Linked DNA regions of Caenorhabditis elegans. The protein of the gene in region 3 purifies or fractionates together with the protein of the main gene of each other region. This does not show direct contact. Each region holds a gene or a part of one and is shown on either strand. Other genes may lie near its edges.

The links.
Region 1: the proteins of ZK632.11 (region 3) and spe-9 fractionate together in Caenorhabditis elegans (co-fractionation; one large-scale study listed by BioGRID). This does not show direct contact.
Region 2: the proteins of ZK632.11 (region 3) and Y51A2D.8 fractionate together in Caenorhabditis elegans (co-fractionation; one large-scale study listed by BioGRID). This does not show direct contact.

What each region holds. Positions count from the first base shown.
Region 1 is NC_003279.8:11,583,574-11,589,323, forward strand, and holds the start of spe-9 (Sperm transmembrane protein 9), read right to left. Parts: upstream 2,497-5,750; 5' UTR 2,475-2,496; coding exon 2,429-2,474; intron 2,368-2,428; coding exon 2,267-2,367; intron 2,205-2,266; coding exon 2,128-2,204; intron 2,081-2,127; coding exon 1,973-2,080; intron 1,884-1,972; exon of another isoform or gene 1,785-1,883; intron 1,753-1,784; coding exon 1,464-1,752; intron 1,414-1,463; coding exon 1,339-1,413; intron 1,287-1,338; exon of another isoform or gene 1,214-1,286; intron 1,110-1,213; coding exon 1,043-1,109; intron 986-1,042; coding exon 880-985; intron 837-879; coding exon 697-836; intron 628-696; exon of another isoform or gene 538-627; intron 453-537; coding exon 254-452; intron 206-253; coding exon 121-205; intron 78-120; coding exon 1-77. Other genes in the region: C17D12.5 (UBC core domain-containing protein), read left to right, coding at 2,678-2,716, 3,066-3,155, 3,205-3,358, 3,585-3,721. UniProt on the Caenorhabditis elegans protein: Required for fertilization. May be required for cell adhesion and/or function as a signaling molecule.
Region 2 is NC_003283.11:18,551,470-18,557,219, reverse strand, and holds the start of Y51A2D.8 (Cysteine proteinase), read left to right. Parts: upstream 1-3,369; 5' UTR 3,370-3,373; coding exon 3,374-3,519; intron 3,520-3,920; coding exon 3,921-4,001; intron 4,002-4,359; coding exon 4,360-4,723; intron 4,724-5,750. Other genes in the region: ttr-25 (TransThyretin-Related family domain), read right to left, coding at 273-432; ttr-24 (TransThyretin-Related family domain), read left to right, coding at 667-826, 1,414-1,541, 1,622-1,759.
Region 3 is NC_003281.10:9,824,803-9,830,552, forward strand, and holds ZK632.11 (uncharacterized protein), read left to right. Parts: upstream 1-3,112; 5' UTR 3,113-3,115; coding exon 3,116-3,198; intron 3,199-3,245; coding exon 3,246-3,312; intron 3,313-3,358; coding exon 3,359-3,438; intron 3,439-3,491; coding exon 3,492-3,588; intron 3,589-3,638; coding exon 3,639-3,922; intron 3,923-3,970; coding exon 3,971-4,115; intron 4,116-4,159; coding exon 4,160-4,369; intron 4,370-4,414; coding exon 4,415-4,810; 3' UTR 4,811-4,917; downstream 4,918-5,750. Other genes in the region: ZK632.9 (uncharacterized protein), read right to left, coding at 323-323, 379-512, 562-615; UPF0057 membrane protein ZK632.10, read right to left, coding at 1,846-1,893, 2,110-2,262, 2,308-2,349.

The DNA.
Region 1 (5,750 bases), on a different chromosome or scaffold from region 3:
GGGTTCAACTTTGCGGATAATGGGCATAAGCATTGATAGCGACTTGTGCCGAATGCCACGTCGGCAGTGTTCGGTATCTGAAATTTTTTCGCTGATTTTCAGAGGCCTCGATGTGCCTACCGGGATACAGTCACCGTGCTTGCAAGGTTGCCGAGCACACGGGTCGAAGATTTCGCATTTCTCGCCGGTGTAGTCCGGCTTGCATCTGAAATTAGGGCTACTAGGTAAAAGGCAGGCAGGTAGGTGCACTAACACACAATGAGCCACTCCACTAATATCCACACATGCTCCGTGTTGAGAATCCGTGCACTTTTCGTCCCACCGGTCCCCGCGAGCCACCTCCTCTCGAGTCAAAGAGCAAGAGTCATGGCGTTTGTACTCACAATAGTAACCGTCGGTGAGAGGATTGGTACATTCGCAGCGATAGATGTAGTAGGCTCGGGAGCTGTTCACTGAAACATTAGGTATGAGAATGGAACAAGGCAGGCATAGGCCAGAATTTTGTGCATACGTTTTAGCGCGGTGTTAAAAATTTTTACAAAAACGTAAGCCCAATGCGGGGCTCGAACCCGCGACAACCAGATTAAGAGTCTGGTGCTCTACCGACTGAGCTAACCGGGCGGCGAACGTACTGACAAAAAGGTGTTAGAAAAAAGTTGAGTTACCGGGAGAATTGTGGTAATTGAATTTTCCTACCTCGAACAACTTCAGGTACACACTTCCCATCATTTCTACACCATCCATCAGTCATCGTCCCATTGACATTCTTCCCATCATTGTAGTCATTTTTAATTGCTTCCAACTCCGAAATGTCATCCATATATTCCAAGGAAATACTGAAAATGTGAGTTTTACAACCATTCTATAAACTTTTCCTACTTTGCGATGAATTTCTTAAAAAACATCGTCGAATTACTTCCCTCGGCACATGGAATAAATTCTTTGGGGGCTGTTGAAGGAATTTGAAGGGTTTCGCAGTTTTCACCTGAAATTTTTCTGAAATTCACAGAATTTGAAATATTTTTTTTTTTTTTTTACCCACCTGTTACAGTACCACCAATAAGTTCAATCGCAGAAGGACATTTACAGGTGGCAGTGACGGTTTTGGTCTGAAATAGAAGGTGTGTAATTTGAAGGTCACTTTTTGTTCTGTCTATCAAGTCTCGTTGTTACCCAACATTTCTCTAGACCCTCTGTTGTAAGAGTTAACGCCGCCCGGTTAGCTCAGTCGGTAGAGCACCAGACTCTTAATCTGGTTGTCGCGGGTTCGAGCCCCGCATTGGGCTTACGTTTTTCTATGTTTAGATAAAATATTTTCTCGAATCTTGAAAAAAATACCTTCCAATCTACCACATCTTCACATATTCCACCATTATCACATTGAGTGTCGAAGCAAGCTGATATTTGTTCACACTGGAATTTAAACATATTTCAGAAGAAATTCTGAAGTTGTAAACGCTCACTCTATCTCCAAAGAATTGATTTTCACATTCACACTCGCATTTTCCAGTCGCATTAATTGCTCCCTTGCCTCTGCCCAAACAATACACTTCTTGGCAAGTTCGATCTGCTTCAGACTCATCGCATAACCCGCCAAAGTACCCCTTTTGGCATATACACTCGTAATTCACTTCTAAATCGATTTCAGCCAATTCTTCATTTGTTAAAGCTGCTTTGGATCCGTTTACTTTTCTTTGGACACGAATTTGTCTCAAAAGAACTGTATTGACAATAGTCCGCAGGCTTTTGATGCTGAAACAGAGGTAATGATAATTTAAAAAAGGGAAAAAAAGAACTGAAGAGAGTGGGATTCGAACCCACGCCCCCGAAGGGACTGGTGCCTTAAACCAGCGCCTTGGACCGCTCGGCCATCTCTCCGCCGGCGACTAACGGCTGGAGGGCATAGACACAACTTGTGTACACCGAAACAGTTGCCATAAAAATTCACAGAAAAAAACGAATGTTTTCCAACCTGACACACGTAGAATTATTCTGACACAAGTGTTTCTCGCAATTCGTTTGATCTGACACGTGTTCACACGTTTTTCCGTAATGTGTGACCGGGCAAATGCAATAGAAGCTGAAAATATTGCCTTTTTAATCTGAAAAGTTGGCAAAAACTCTCACTTTCCATTTTCATGCAAGCATTTTCCCCGATTTGAGCAAATTTTCGGATTTTCCAGACAAGGATTGAAGTTTTTGTTCTAAAAATATTTAAATTCCATAAAAATGCAAACGCGCCCCATCGCAAAAATCGATAATTTACCCTTTTCACCGCCAGACTTTCTTCATTATAGTTGGGTGTTTTTTCAATATCATTCGGAGCATCTTTCTCCAAAAAATCAATAATTTTTCTGATTTTTGCACCTGAAAATTAAAAAAATCGATAATTTTTCCGAAAAAAATCGATAAAACATGAAAAACTCACAGTCGCCGGCGAAAAACAACACAACCAACACCAGAATCACATTCATTTTACGAAAATTTCAGAGCAATAATGCAAAAAGATTGCGTAAAACGAATCGATAGCATCGTGACGTTCCAGTTTATTGATTTTTCGGGATAAATCGATAATGCTCGAAAAAATCGATAAAACGTGAAAACTCACTGTCGACGGCAAAAAACAACACAACCAACACCAGAATAACATTTATTTCACGAAAATTTCAAAGTAATAATGCAAAAAGTTTGCGAAAAACGGATCGATAGCGTCGTGGTGAGTTAGCGTTCTAGTTTATTGATTTTTGGGGAAAAATCAATAAAAAAACCGACAGGTTTTCAGAAAATTGTCGAGAATTTCTGGGAAAGTTAAAAATGTTTCAAATGGGGCTCCCAGGGCTCCCAACTGAGTGAGGCGCAAAATTCGGGCTTCACGCCGGCCCCTCTCTGGCCCTATCCGGCCGGCCTTACGCCGACACCGCGCGCCGCTGTGTGTGTGGAGCGGCTATTTGGTAGCGGCCGACATGTTTGCGGTTCCGCGCCACACTATTCATGCGGCGACCTCATGGGAGCCCTACTTTCAGAACAAAAATCGATGTATTTTCTAAATATTAATTCTTTTCCAGGCGTCGGCTGTCGAGGGTTCTGGAATGTTCTACGCGGTGAGATTCGAGCCGCCGCCGTCGAAAACTTGCTTTGACGTGACTCTAAAGACGGTGAGAGCGGCGGCGCCACGCAAAAAAAAAATCAATAATCAAATTTCAGTACGGACCGCCCTACACCGAGTACATCGTAACCGTCGCAATTCCGCCGAAATTCCCGTTCTCGCCGCCGGCGATCACTTGCAAAACTGATAAAAATATGAAATTCCTGTTTTTGGAGGAAAATCAATGGAAACCGTCTACCGGAATTGTTGCAGGTAGAGAAAATCGATAATTCTCCCCTTTTTTCAGCGAAAAAATTATCCTGAACGTATTTTTTTGGTAGCAAAACAACCGGATTTTTCTATTTTCTTTTTCAGAGGCTTCAGTACTAAATCCGTTGATAATCTCTTGTTTGTTGTCTGGTTACTGATACAATTTTTTAGTGATTCGAAATTTTATTTACCATGTGCCTACCTTAAACCTACAATATTCATTTTTCAGTCCTTATCGAAGCCTGCAGTGTGATTTCGCGTCGAGACCTGGTCCCCCGTGCACCGGTTCTTCCACGCATCCGTCCACCACAAGCACGTACGCCAACTAGTGCTTCGCCTGCAAAGTCGCCACAGAAAGCTGATTGATTGATTTTTGAGTAGAAAAAATAAAGTTTTGAATGTTTAAATTGAGTTTTTTACATTGAAACAGGTGGAAATGGAATAGACTTCTCGGGATGTATGGGTGACTGACCAAACCACTTGAAGAAAATTAAGAATTTATCGTCTCAGTCCCACTACTCCTACAGTAGTCCTACAGTACCCCAACATCATCCCTACAGTAACCCTAAAGTACTCTTACAGTAACCATACAGTACCACTACAGCTCCCCTACAGAAACGCTACCGTAACCCTACAGTAATGCTACAGTACTCCATCGAGTAAGTACCACTATGATACCCTTACAGTAACGCTACAATAGGCCTACAGTACTACTAAATTATCACTACAGTACCACTAAGGAACCCCTCGAGTTATCCTAAATTATTACTACAGTACCCCTACAGTATCTGTACCGTAACCCTACAGCAACACTACAGCAACACTATAGTAAGCCGACAGCAATTCTACAGTATCACTACAGAACCCCTACCGCAACCCTACAGTAACCCTACAGTACCACAATTGTAACCTCACAGAAGCCCCTACAGTATCCCCCTAGCACCACTACAGTACCCCCTCGAGTAACCCTACAGTACCCCCGACAGTACACTAATCCCAATATACATAGGAACCCTTCACTTGCCGAAGTCTCATTTTTCCAAAATATTGAAAAAACAGTCCCCATAATTGACAGCCGTGGGAAGATTATTGAATTAGCATGTTTTTCTTCTGAATTTTTTTCATTTTCCTCAGAAAAACACATTGCCCATTCGTGAAATCCATTACTTAATCACAGTTCATCCGAGTGGGTCAAATTGCTGACCCCCCCCCCCCCTACTTGACAGACGATACAGTACCATCTGTCTCTGAGAGTGGGGGGGGGGGGGGTCCATTATTTAATCCCTCATACACCTAAATGCACGGCCTATGGTCTAATTATTTAGAGTAGGTCAGGATTGCCAAGCTTAATTGTTTGAAAAAAAAAACGAAATATTTTGGTAGGGGTACTGGTACTGTATCGTCTGTCAAGTAGGGGGGGGGGGGGGGGGGGTCAGCAATTTAGGTGTATTGTAGTGACACTGTATGGGTACTGTATAGATACTGTAAGCGTACTGTAGGGTTGACGTAGCGTTGCTGTAGGGATACTGTAATGATATTGTGTGGGGTACTGTAGTTTAGTGTAGTCGTACTGTAAGGGGGTACTGTAGCGGTTATGTAGAGGTACTGTAGTGGTACTGTAGAGAAACCTTAGGATACTGTTATGGTTACTTTAGGGGCACTGCAGGGGTACTGTAGAAGTACTGAATTATGTACTCAAATTTTCAGAAAATTCTCTACTTTCACTGTGACTCCCCGGACTCCAAATTTTTCCCTAAAAATTCAAATTTTCGTCTGAAAATTCCGGTGCCACCTGCCCCTTGATTTTTCTTGCAAAATTTGTTTCTAATCAAAATGAAAATTTTTTACCACCTGTTCTTTAGGAACGCGTTTCTCATCAAAGACCTCTTTTTCCCTAATCCGCTTTTCTTATGCACCATGTTCCGATTCGGTACTTCACCACCACCTGTCAGGTTTATTAGTGACGAAAGAAACATGCTCGATGCACCATGTCATCATTTTTTCAGAATTTTTAAAAGTTTTTCCCAAGCTTTTTCCAATAAATTGCAGAGCCCAGGTCATGGTGCATCGACTCTACTTACCCCCCTCTATTATCTCCTACAATTCCAATTCCATGTAGGTCTTCTGTACAATAATGATACTCGGACCATCTGTCCCCTTCCCACCACGATTCCCGGTGACAGCTGCCTCTCCACGCCTGCCTCTGACCGTTCATGCCTTGTTACCCACCCTACTACTACTACTGCTAGCCATCTGTTCCCCCTTCCGAGCGGCGATACATCAAATCCGTCAAGCCCGAATTAGGAGGCAGAAGAAGAAGAAGAAGGAAGAAGACGTAGAAGATCTCCTTTGGGAATTCTCGAGTCATAAGTCTTCACAACTTTGAAGCTCTGAA
Region 2 (5,750 bases), on a different chromosome or scaffold from region 3:
CACCGCACTCAAAAAACTAAAGTTGTCTGATCATAGGCAAAATGGGGGTCAAACAAAAGCTAAGAACGTCAAAAATTCAAAAATCGTATTTTCAACCTTTAAAAGCGAACTATTCTAATGTTACGGTTAGAAACCGCGACGCGACCGCACCGCACTCAAAATACCAAAGTTGTCAGATTATAGGCAATATGGGGGTCAAATGAAAGCTAAGAACGTCAGAATTTCAAAAATACACAAATTAAAACATAAAACTGGAAAAAAAAATGGCTCACCAGTTCCATCCTCATACAGCTTGATCTTCACATCCTTCACAGCTTGGCCGTTGCAAGTGAGCTTACCAACTACAGTAACCGTCTGCTTTCTACCAACAATTCCGCCGAGCCCGTGAGCCACGGCTAAAGTCGCAAGGAAGAGCAGACAAAGTTTGAGCATCGTTTGAGCAGATTCTCAGGAAGTTTCCGTGAGTTTTGCTCCCGGTTTTTATGGGATTTTCGGGTGACAAACATGTTTTTCTGGTCCCCAGCGGCATGTTTACACTAAACAACAACTGTTCCGTTAGATAATCACCTAATCGCCGACTTTTATCCGTTTCTCATCTCGTCTGATTTCCCTGATTTCTTATCATTTTCCTGGATTTCTTATCGATTCCCGGTCGACTCCTGAGCAATGTTCAAAGAAATTCTGCTCATTTCCACTGTTTTTCTGCTCACTGATGCCTTGGGAGGTATTGTTGGGAGTAAACAGACGGTCACTGTGGTCGGCAAACTGGTCTGTAACGGAGCACCGGCTAGAGACGTCCGTGTGAAGCTTTTCGAGGATGGAACTAGTAAGTTGAAAGTTTCAAATTCGATTTTTTCAAGTTGAAAATGTCTCACCACGCTGTTAGCTTCAATTTGGCACTCATATTGCCTGTATTTGGACAATTTTTGGTTTTAGGGCACGGCGCGGTTGCGTCGCGGTTTCTAATAGTCACTATTTACCGTAAAATTAGAGCAGTTCGTTTTTAAGGATCAAAATTACGATTTTTGTATTTCTGACGTTCTTAGCTTTTATTTGACCCCCATAACGACTATATTCGGATAACTTTGGTTTTTTGAGTGCGGTGCGGTCGCGTCGCGTGTCAAATGCAAAAATTATTGTAAAGCTCCACAATGGCAAACATTTTTGAACAAAGACGTTGTATTAATCATAACTCAAAAACTTACCGCGTTGAAGCATGAAAAATGCAATTTCAATTTTCGCCGCGTTGCGGTCGCGTCGCGGTCACACACCCCAAAATTCAAATTTGTCCGAACATAGTCAATATGGGTGTCAAAATTCTTGTCTTGACCTGGAAAATCTGAATTTCCTAGTTTTAACAACAAAAATGTTAACTTTGAACATTTTATTTCACAAAAATACAATTTTCTGCAGTCTACGACACGAAAATGGACTCGGTGAAAACAATTGCTGATGGAACATTCAAGGTCTCGGGATCCCAGAATAAAATCCGCAAGATTGACCCGAAAATCAATATTTATCATAAATGCAACTATTCTGGAGTAGGTTTTTGGAGAAAAAAATTGAAAAAATTCGATTTTTTTCCTATTTAAAAAAAATTCAAAAATTTTGAAATTTTCAGCTCTGCCCAAAAAAAGTGACTATTCATGTTCCAAAAAATGCAGTTGGTAAAGGATCCAAAGAAGCTCAACTTTTCGACATCGGAACCCTCAATTTGGCTAACAGATACCCAGGAGAGGGCACTGATTGCATTCATTAAACTTTTTTTGTAATTTTTTGATAATTTTTATGTTTTAATTGGCATTTTTCATAAAATAAACGTTTAATTACAATTTTTAAAGTGTTTCTGTAAAAAAAATGAGCAAATTCTGACAAATATAGCCTAAAACCATGAGAGGGACACTTATGGGACACCTATGGGACATTCGGGGACACCAGGGGACATTTTAAACAATAAAAATGTAAAATTCGTGTTCTTCATAAAATTTGCAAAATTTTAACACCCATATTGATTATACTCTGAACATTTGGACGTTTTGGCCAAAAAACGGCCCAGAACGGCCTGAAACTGGCCCGAAACTCAAAATTTATTGAAAAATAGATTTTCTTCACCTAAAACTTCAAGATAATTTTCAGCCTTTTGATTTAACTTGCATAACAATGAAATGTTGAATTTCAGGCCAATTTCAGGCCATTTCAGGCCGTTCTAGACTTGAAATATGAGCACCACGAATTTAGGTCAAGGTAAGTGTAGAAATTTTGCAGTAATAAGAAAAACCTAAAAGTGAAAACGCAGTTCCAGAAAATCTAGAAATTCAGGCCTGAAACGGCCTGAAACGGCCCGAATCGGTCCAAATCATTTCGACAAGCCCAGTTTCTTGAAATATAGCCGATGTAAATGTCAAATCCATAAAAATGATATAAAAAATATTGCCATGTACATTAAAAAAAAAATTTTTTTTGGAAAAATATTTGAACCGTTCAAAATTAAACCATTTTTCATGTTTTAATTTGCAATATAAACGCTTAACTACATCTATGCAAGTGTTTCTGTAAAAAAAGAGCAACTTCTGACAAATATAGCCTGAAAACCACGAGTGGGACACTTATGGGACACCTATGGGACATTCGGGGACACCCGGTAAAATTTTGAGAAATATGAACTCAAAATTCGTGTTCTTCATGAAATTTGCCTAGTTTTGAAACCCATATTGGCTATGTTCTACAAACTTTGAAATTTTGGGCAAAAAACGGCCCGGAGCCTGAAAATGGCCTGAAATACAAAACTTTCCTTTAAATAACTTTTATTTCACAGTTTCAAATTTTTCAAAAACGTTTGCTGAAATTATCGACATATACCCGTCAATATTTGTTTTCAAGCCTAGAACGGCCTGAACTGTCCTAAAACTGGTCTGAAATTCAATTTTCCGCAAACATAACCAATTTAGTAGTTCCTTATACAAGTTGGCAAATTACTACAAACGCACTGGCATTAAACTGAGTGTATTGATATTTGGGCTCCAAAAAGCCCGAAACGGCCTAAAACTGGTCTGAAATTCAAATTTCCTCGAATATAGCCAATATGGGGGTCAAATAAACGGAAATTTTATGAAGATTCCAAATTTTCATGTAACAAGGCTTGAAAAAAATCAAAATTTTCAATAACTTGCTCATAAATTAATTTTTCAACCCCCTGTCAACACCAAAAATCTATAAAAGAACCCCAACAAATTCGATGTCGAAATGTGCAGAATCACCCCGATCTTTCCAACTTTTTCCCCCGAAAAAGTGGAAAATTTTACGATTTCGGCCATAAAACTCGGAAGCTTAAAAGCCAACCGTAGCCCGAGGCAATCAAAATTTCGCCGCGAAAATGCAAGTTTTCGTGATTTTCCTGGTGGTTCTACCCATTTCAGGGGTAGTTTCCATCAATATTACAGAACCCGAATTTTTTGAAATTAATATCGATCGGGACCATCCGGAGAAGCTCTACAAGGCTTTTGAGGATTTTAAAAAAAAGTGAGTTTTTTTAATAACGAAAACTTGGCCCAAACTTCAAAATTTTGAAAAATCAATTAAAAATTCGGATTCCCCATAGCAAATAACCCCTACGCCTGAGTTTTCAGAATTTTAGTGCAAAATCCCGTCAAATCGGGTGCCGGGTACGCAAACACCAGGCTACAGTAACCCAAAACACCGGATTTGACGACATTTCGCACGAAATTGTTGAAAAATAGGGTGCAGGGGTAATTTTGGGTGGAGAATTCGAATTTTTACATAATTTTTCAAAAAAAAAATGGTTTTGAAGTGTTGAAATTTCGATTTTCAGAAATAATTGAACATTTCTATTAAAATTTTTCAGAAATCTTATTGTTGCCGTTTTAAGCCACTTTTGAGAAAAAAAACATAATTTTTCACAGGTACAACCGAAAATACAAGGACGAGTCGGAGAATCAGCAGAGATTCAATAATTTCGTAAAATCCTACAACAATGTCGATAAGTAAGTGAAAAAAAACATGGCCCAAACTTCAGAATTTTCAAATTTCGAGTCGAAATTCGGATTCTACGTAGCAAATAACCACTAACCCCGTTTTTCAAAAATTTAGCGCAAAATTCCGTCAAATTGGGTGTAAGGTCCACAAACACTAGGCTACAGTAACCAAAAACACCAGATTTGACGCAAAATTGCACTAAAGCGTTGAAAATTTCGGGACAGGGGTAATTTGAGGCGTAGATTTCGAATTTCATAATGAAAATGTTTTAAATTTGAGTTTAAAAATGAAATTTTTGAATAAAAAATTTCGAAAAAAAATTTCAAAAAAATTTTTTTTTTTCGGTTTTTTTTCAATTTTTTTCAGATTAAACGCAAAGTCAAAAGCAGCCGGATATGACACCCAATTTGGCATTAACAAGTTTTCTGACCTATCCACCGCCGAATTCCACGGCCGTTTGTCCAATGTAGTGCCCAGCAACAATACAGGGCTCCCAATGCTCAACTTCGACAAGAAAAAACCGGATTTTCGCGCGGCCGACATGAATAAAACACGCCATAAGCGTAGATCAACACGCTATCCAGACTATTTCGACTTGAGAAACGAGAAAATCAACGGGCGATACATTGTGGGCCCGATCAAGGATCAGGGGCAATGTGCGTGTTGCTGGGGATTCGCGGTCACCGCACTGGTGGAGACTGTGTATGCAGCACATTCTGGAAAGTTTAAGGTAAAAATAAAACAATTATTTGAAAAATTTGAATGAAAACTGTGAAAGTTCGAGGAAAATCGGTGAAAAATTGGCGTGAAAACTCGAATTTTTCGATTTTTTTTTGAAAACAGAAAACATTGCCGTTGGAGCGCATTTACACCCTCTAGCCTGAAATTTAATTCTATTTTTCTGTAAATATATCGTAGATCACATTTTTTGCTATGTTTTCCATTTTGAAAAATGGCAAAGTTACGTTAGTTTCAAGTGTTTAAAGCGAAGTTGAACGAATTTTCAGTAGGTTCTCAGCGGAGTGCGTTTACTGCTTTTACACTAAATTTTATTAGACTTTGACTATTTTAATATTAAACTTTGCAAAAATTGGTATTGTACACGTTTTTTAAATTTGGAAAATCTTGAAAATTGGCCAAATTACGGATGTTTCAAATTTTCTAGTCAAAATACACAGAGTTTTGAGGAGTTCTCATTGGAGCGCATTTACAACCCCTAAACTAACTTTTCTCTTATTTTTTTGTGCATAGTTAATGTAGATCACATGTTTCTCTACTAGTTTCTTTTGGAAAAATAAGAAAATCTTGAAAACTGGCCAAGATACGATTTTTCACAAATTTGGGTCAAAAAATGAGAAATTTTGAAATATTCTTATTGAAACGCATTGGCAAGCCCAAAACTAATTTTTTTTTTCAAATTTTCAATGTATTTAGTGTAGATCACATGTTATTTCACTAGTTTCTTTTTTAAAAATAAGAAAATCTTGAAAATTGACCTATTTACGGATGTTTCAAATTTTCTAGTCAAAATCAACAGAATTTGTAAGAATTCTCATTGGAGCGCATTTACAACCTCAAAACTGACATTTTTTCATGATTGACTACTACAAATATAGCAGATCATATAATTAGGCGCAATTTTCAGTTTGAAACTAAAAAAAATCTTAAAAATTGGCAAAGTTACGGTAGTTTCAAATTTTTCAGTTAAACTTGGCAGAATTTCAGAATTTCACTGAATTTTTGAATTTCTATGTAAA
Region 3 (5,750 bases):
AGAGCTTGTGACGAATTAAACGTTAGGCCGCAATGAAGTAATTGTATTGATTTCTTCTTCTAAAAAATAATTCTCACAAAACAAATATTTATTTGATGTGAACAAAAACGGGATGTGAAGAAAATTACTCGGGAATTTACAATAAAATACAAAAAAAAATCGATTGCTAGACAGCCTAGCCGGTGGGTACTTTACAAATTTTAAATTTACACAATACGGTTAAAAATAATGAAGAAACGAGAAACAAGGTAAAAAACATGAATCAGTGGGCAGTCGGTGGTGGAATAGAGAAATAGTGTCGGGCAGTCACATGAAGAATGATTCTGAAAAATCAAAAATAGGAACATGGTCCGCAAACACGGTAGCATATTAACGCACCACTTCTCTTTTCTCTTTGCCTCTCCGTTGCTGGCGGTTTGAACAACCTTGCGAGTGTCCCCTCCTGGCTGAGATGCGTGCTTGTGCTCCACTCTGTCAGACTTGGTGCGCTTTCCGCTTCCAGTGGTGAGATCCTAAAATTGAAATTATTCAGTTTAAATACAATATATGCATTGCACTGACCGGTCCTCCGGTTTGCTCGAATGCGGCAGCCATTTCTTCAGCAGTCGACGACATCTCGTTGGTAATTTTCTGCAACAAAAAATTATTATAAAGCTTAGAGACGTGTAAGCAACACAAAAATGAGAGAATGAACCGACACAAGAATGACCAAAACAAGTGTTATCAAAGTGAAATGGACGATGATTGGCAGTTGCATGATTAGAAAGAAGTAGGCAGAAAAGGGAGGAGAGTGCCAAGAAAACAAAACTGTGAAAGAACCGATTGAATAGCATTTGAAACGATTGGAGTGTGTTTATTTGAAGGACGATAGTGACAAATCTAAATTTTGGCGCGCGTAGTGTTGACGAAGATCAAATCTATTTACAAGTGTAAATGTTTAAAATCGATAATTTGAAATTTTCGATTAGGAATAAGGCTGAAAAGTATTTAAACAAAGCTTCAATTGAGAAATACCAGAAAAATTCGTTAAAAATTTTCAACGAGTTTAAAGGAGGGCGCATTTGTGTGGAATTTGTGTGGCGTAGAGATTTCTTTATTGATTTTTCTCGTTTTTTTTTTTTAATATTCTGACTTATATTGCGTTTATCAGCCATAATAAATGTTAAAAAGGTCGAAAATGAGAAAAATCAATGGAGAATGAAAAACAACTCTAAATGAGAGTGCGTTTTTGTAGAAAAGCTCTACAAAAGTGAGAAATAAAGTAACGTTTTCAGGCTTTTTTTCAAGAATAGAAATCTGCCTGAATATTTTTAGCGAATCAACAGCAGACGGACAGTTTCATTCAAATACTCGTATTTATACATTTGCGTTGGCGCCAGAGACACGTGATGGATAGACGAGCGGAGACCATCGAAAAAAGTAAAAATGAAAAGAGACGCAGAGCAGCACATTTTGAGGGCTGACTTGTTTCTGCTAGATATATTGGTGCGGTGTCATCGAAGGCACAGAACAAAAAGAAAAAAGAAGCAAGAAAGAAAAAAAAGAAACGAACAAACAAGACAAAAAAAATAAATCGATCGGAACAAAGCACCGATAGATCATAAAATGGTGATAAATAAAACAATGTATATCGAAAAGAGGAATGATTTATTTTTTCAATGGAGGGAATGAACACAATCTCATTAAGGCCTTAGAATGAGAAAATTCGGCAAGTGATACAGTTTTTGATCATGGACCTGTGACAATAAGTCAAAATTGCAAGGGGTGAATTAAAGGTTTACAAAGGATAAAGAAATACATTTATGTCGTGGAGCGCAAAGTAGGAACGTGTCTTGTCGTGAGCATTTAAGCCGAATAAGGAGAATAAGCTGGTGGAGCGGTTCCGTGGTCATTCTGAAATAATTTTAATTTAAACATTTATTAAGCTTTGTAGAAAGACAACAAAGGAAACAGTAGGATGAATCATGGACAAGAAACCGACCCCCTTGTAATAAATTTCAAAAAAAAAGTCACCATTTTATCAAGATTCAAGGGTATCTGTTGTTCTGAAATTTGACAAATCACTATCTTTTTCCTTTTGGCTAATCTTTTTTCCAACTATCCACTTACAGTCTGCACGTATATGTTCTGAACGACAGTCTTCTCCTTGCAAAGGATGATGTACCACGCGTGAATGATTCCTGGGATGATCCCGAGACAGGTGAGAAGAATGTTGATGAGGAGGTCACAGTTGCATCCAACATCCAGAAGCACAGCGATTGGCTGGAAAATAGTGGTTGAAGAATGGTTTCAGACTGAAGAACTCACCGGAAGGAAAATTGCAAGGATGGCGAGAAGAATCTGGCACATTTCGTTTTCGTTTCGACGAGACTTGAGCTGAAAAACAGAGATTATTGGGAGAATTGCAAGTATTGAAGATAGATTAAAAAAGTGTGAGATTTCGGTGATTAAATTAAACTATAAAGTCATCACTTCCAGCAACACGGAAGGTTTATCGATTGACGATGAATCAAAAAATTGCGCAATCGACGAACGCGATTGTGGTTAGAATCACAAGACAACACCTCGCTCGTTGGCTATCGCTGTGTGTCTGCTCTCTCTTCAGAACTCTCGTGCTCTAATACAGAGAAGCATGAAATGTGGTGCTTGGTGCCTAAGGAATTTTTTAATATAAAAGTTGACGTGTCAGAATCATTCATTTGAAGAAAATGCAGAAGAAGAAGTAGAAATACTGTGAAAATTGTTTTTAGTATGGGTTGTAATTGTTTATTTCAGACAGTAAATTGTAAAGCTAAATATGTTGTGAAAACAATTTAATTTTAGAAATATTATTTTTAATCTTCAATCAATGTAGCAATTTTCAAGAGAAAATAATGCGAAAACCTGATTTTCTTTTGATAAAAAAGAATAAAGTTTGAAAAACAAACATGTAAACAAGTTACGGTGAATGTTCACAGAACCTGCATACAGATTCGGTGTTTGCGTACATGTGTACCGTACCCACAAACAAAAAACATGCGTTGATTGGAAATTTCGCAATTAACTTTTATTTTTGTCACTAAAATTATTATTAAAATATTTAGTTTCATAATTTCTCATAAAATATTTTCAGATAATGTCCGATATTGAGATTATTGAAGAAATTCAACCAGTTTCGTTGAAGCGGAAGCAGCCGAGTACTTCTTTCAATGGAAAAAGGTTTCTTTTTGGAAAATAATCGAATTTTTTGATATTTTCCTTTTTAGAAAAAGAACTTCTTCTGGGCTTATAGAAAAAAGCGAAACAATGAAAGGAACGGAAACAGAGTTTGAGGTAACCTTCACAATATTCACTTCAGTTGATTTTTTTTGTTTTTCAGAAGTTCGTCATTGATCGCACCATCACTCCACAAAGAAAATTGAATGCAGAAGATGTAGAAAAAAGTGGAGAAGATATAGGGTAAAAAAATATATAGTTAATTCAATGACTTTTCCAATAAAAATTCATTGCAGGTCGAGCGAGTGGCGTAAACGCCTTGAATGCACTCTTCTCGGAAGCGTTTCGACCCCAGTAACTGTGAAGAAGGAGAATAACATTAGAAAGAAAATAGTAAGCTTTTATTCATTCACAAAGCTTCTTAAACTAGGAATTTGTTTCAGTCTTGTTTCAATTGTGATGGCGAACACAACCTGAGAGATTGTACTCAGCGGAAAGATTTCAGACGAATTTCAAGGAAAAAGAGGGAATCTGGTGATGGAAGGCAAAGAGTTTTCTATAATGACGTTGGAATATCAAAACAAAGAGAGAAACATTTCAAACCTGGTGTGATCAGCGATAGATTAAGAGCCGCTCTTGGATTGCGTGGGAATGATATTCCGGAGCACATTTATCGAATGAGAAGACTTGGGTTAATCGATGGATATCCGCCAGGCTGGTTGAGAAAGTATGAAAATGGTAAATTTATGCAATTTAATATTGTTATTAATTTCAGATCAATCAAATCCACCGATCAATTGAAATTCTTCGACTCGACATCCAAAGAAGATGATGAAATGTCAGTGAAGCCTCCTGAATTAGATACATCGAAAATTGTATGGTATCCAGGATTCAATGGAGAACAATCTTCTCTAAATGATGTAAGAACAAATATGTTGTCACTTTAGAAATTACATTTTTATAGCGTGAAGACTTCAAGATTCCACCAAGAGATGTATTTTGCTCAGTTTATCAAGATGAATTGCTGAAAATATTCAAGAAAAGTGAAAAAGCGGAGAAACGAAGAGCCAAATCAACTCCGAAACATAAAAAGTTCGCTAATGAAGATGATGATGATGTTATAGTAATCACAAGTGATGAAATCAAAATTGACAAGTTCAATACTCCGGGAGAAGTAAATTAAATTAAAATAAAAATTCAATATCAGTTACTTTTCCAGGAAGATTCCATTATAATACTCGACGGCTCTGCTTCAACAGAAGAAAAACACCTTTTGACTCCGATTCGAAAAGATGTAAAACTAGGAGAATCGATGTTTGAATTAATCGGAACTCCAGTGTTTGGTAGCTCTCTTCTTACTCCTGTTGCTCCACTTGAAGCGTTTGCCGTCGGAATTCAACCATTTGAAGCAAGAGAAGAACTTACTGGATGCAAGGGAAACTTCAGAAATCTCATGGACAAATTGAAAGAAATCCGCGAAAATAACTTCGTTCCGGAGCCTGAAGAAGAAGTTATTTTGGTTTCAACGAATGAAATTTCGTCGTCGAATAACTCTGGAACTGCTAAGAACAAAAATAATCAGAACAGGAAAAGAAATAGAAGACATGCTAAATGAATTGGCTTTTTGAAAAATCCTTTTGTTGAATTATTGTTGTTGCTTAAAATTGTTGTTGTTGTTCCATATTTTTACGCAAAACTACCATGATAAAACCTTTTTTCTTGATTTTCCAACCTCTCTCTTGTTGTAAATGGTTCCGAATGTCCACAATCTTCTATTTTGGTCATCAATTATATCTTTATCTCTGCGTTTCTTTCACTCTTGCCGCTTTCCGATGGATTGGTGACACACAGCAAATATCGGTTTTCTCAATTTAAACTAAATTGGTCTAATTGGCTTATGTTTAATCAGATTATTTCGAGAAACCTGTGAATATTAAAAAGATGGTATAGGTTTTGAGGGATTTTTTGCCGAATTTATTTTTTAGAAAGTGATGGAATTTTTTATGATTGCAAATTTTTTTAAAAATTATTTAAAAACGAGCTGAATTATTTTTTGAATTCCCGCGCAAACGAATTCCTAAAGTTTCGACGTTTTCAGGTTATATTATTAAGGTTTTTATTAAATTATTGATTCGAAACATAATTTTGTAAAACTTTCATACATTTTTTCCCGCAAAACAAGTTTACATTATTGATTTGAGGCCAGATTTAGAGTTTCAGAGAAGTTCTTTAGATTAACAAAATAAAATAAAAAGAAACCCCAATTAATATAGCCGGAAAAAGCAAAAAATATCGAAATTGTGTAGATCACTTGCGCGGGAATTCAGAAAAAGTTTAGCCTTTTTAATCATTTTTTTTCCAAAATTGAAAAAAATCATTTAAAACAATGTTCAAATTTTGTAATTTTGTTACAGTTATTTTCGGTAAATATATTGAGATTGTTATTGTTAATTAGAAGGAAAACCTACAAAATCTGCTCCCATACCATGCATAACTATATTTAAGATCCGAAATCTTATTCAAAAAAGTAATAAAATTAATTGAAACCTTTTTTC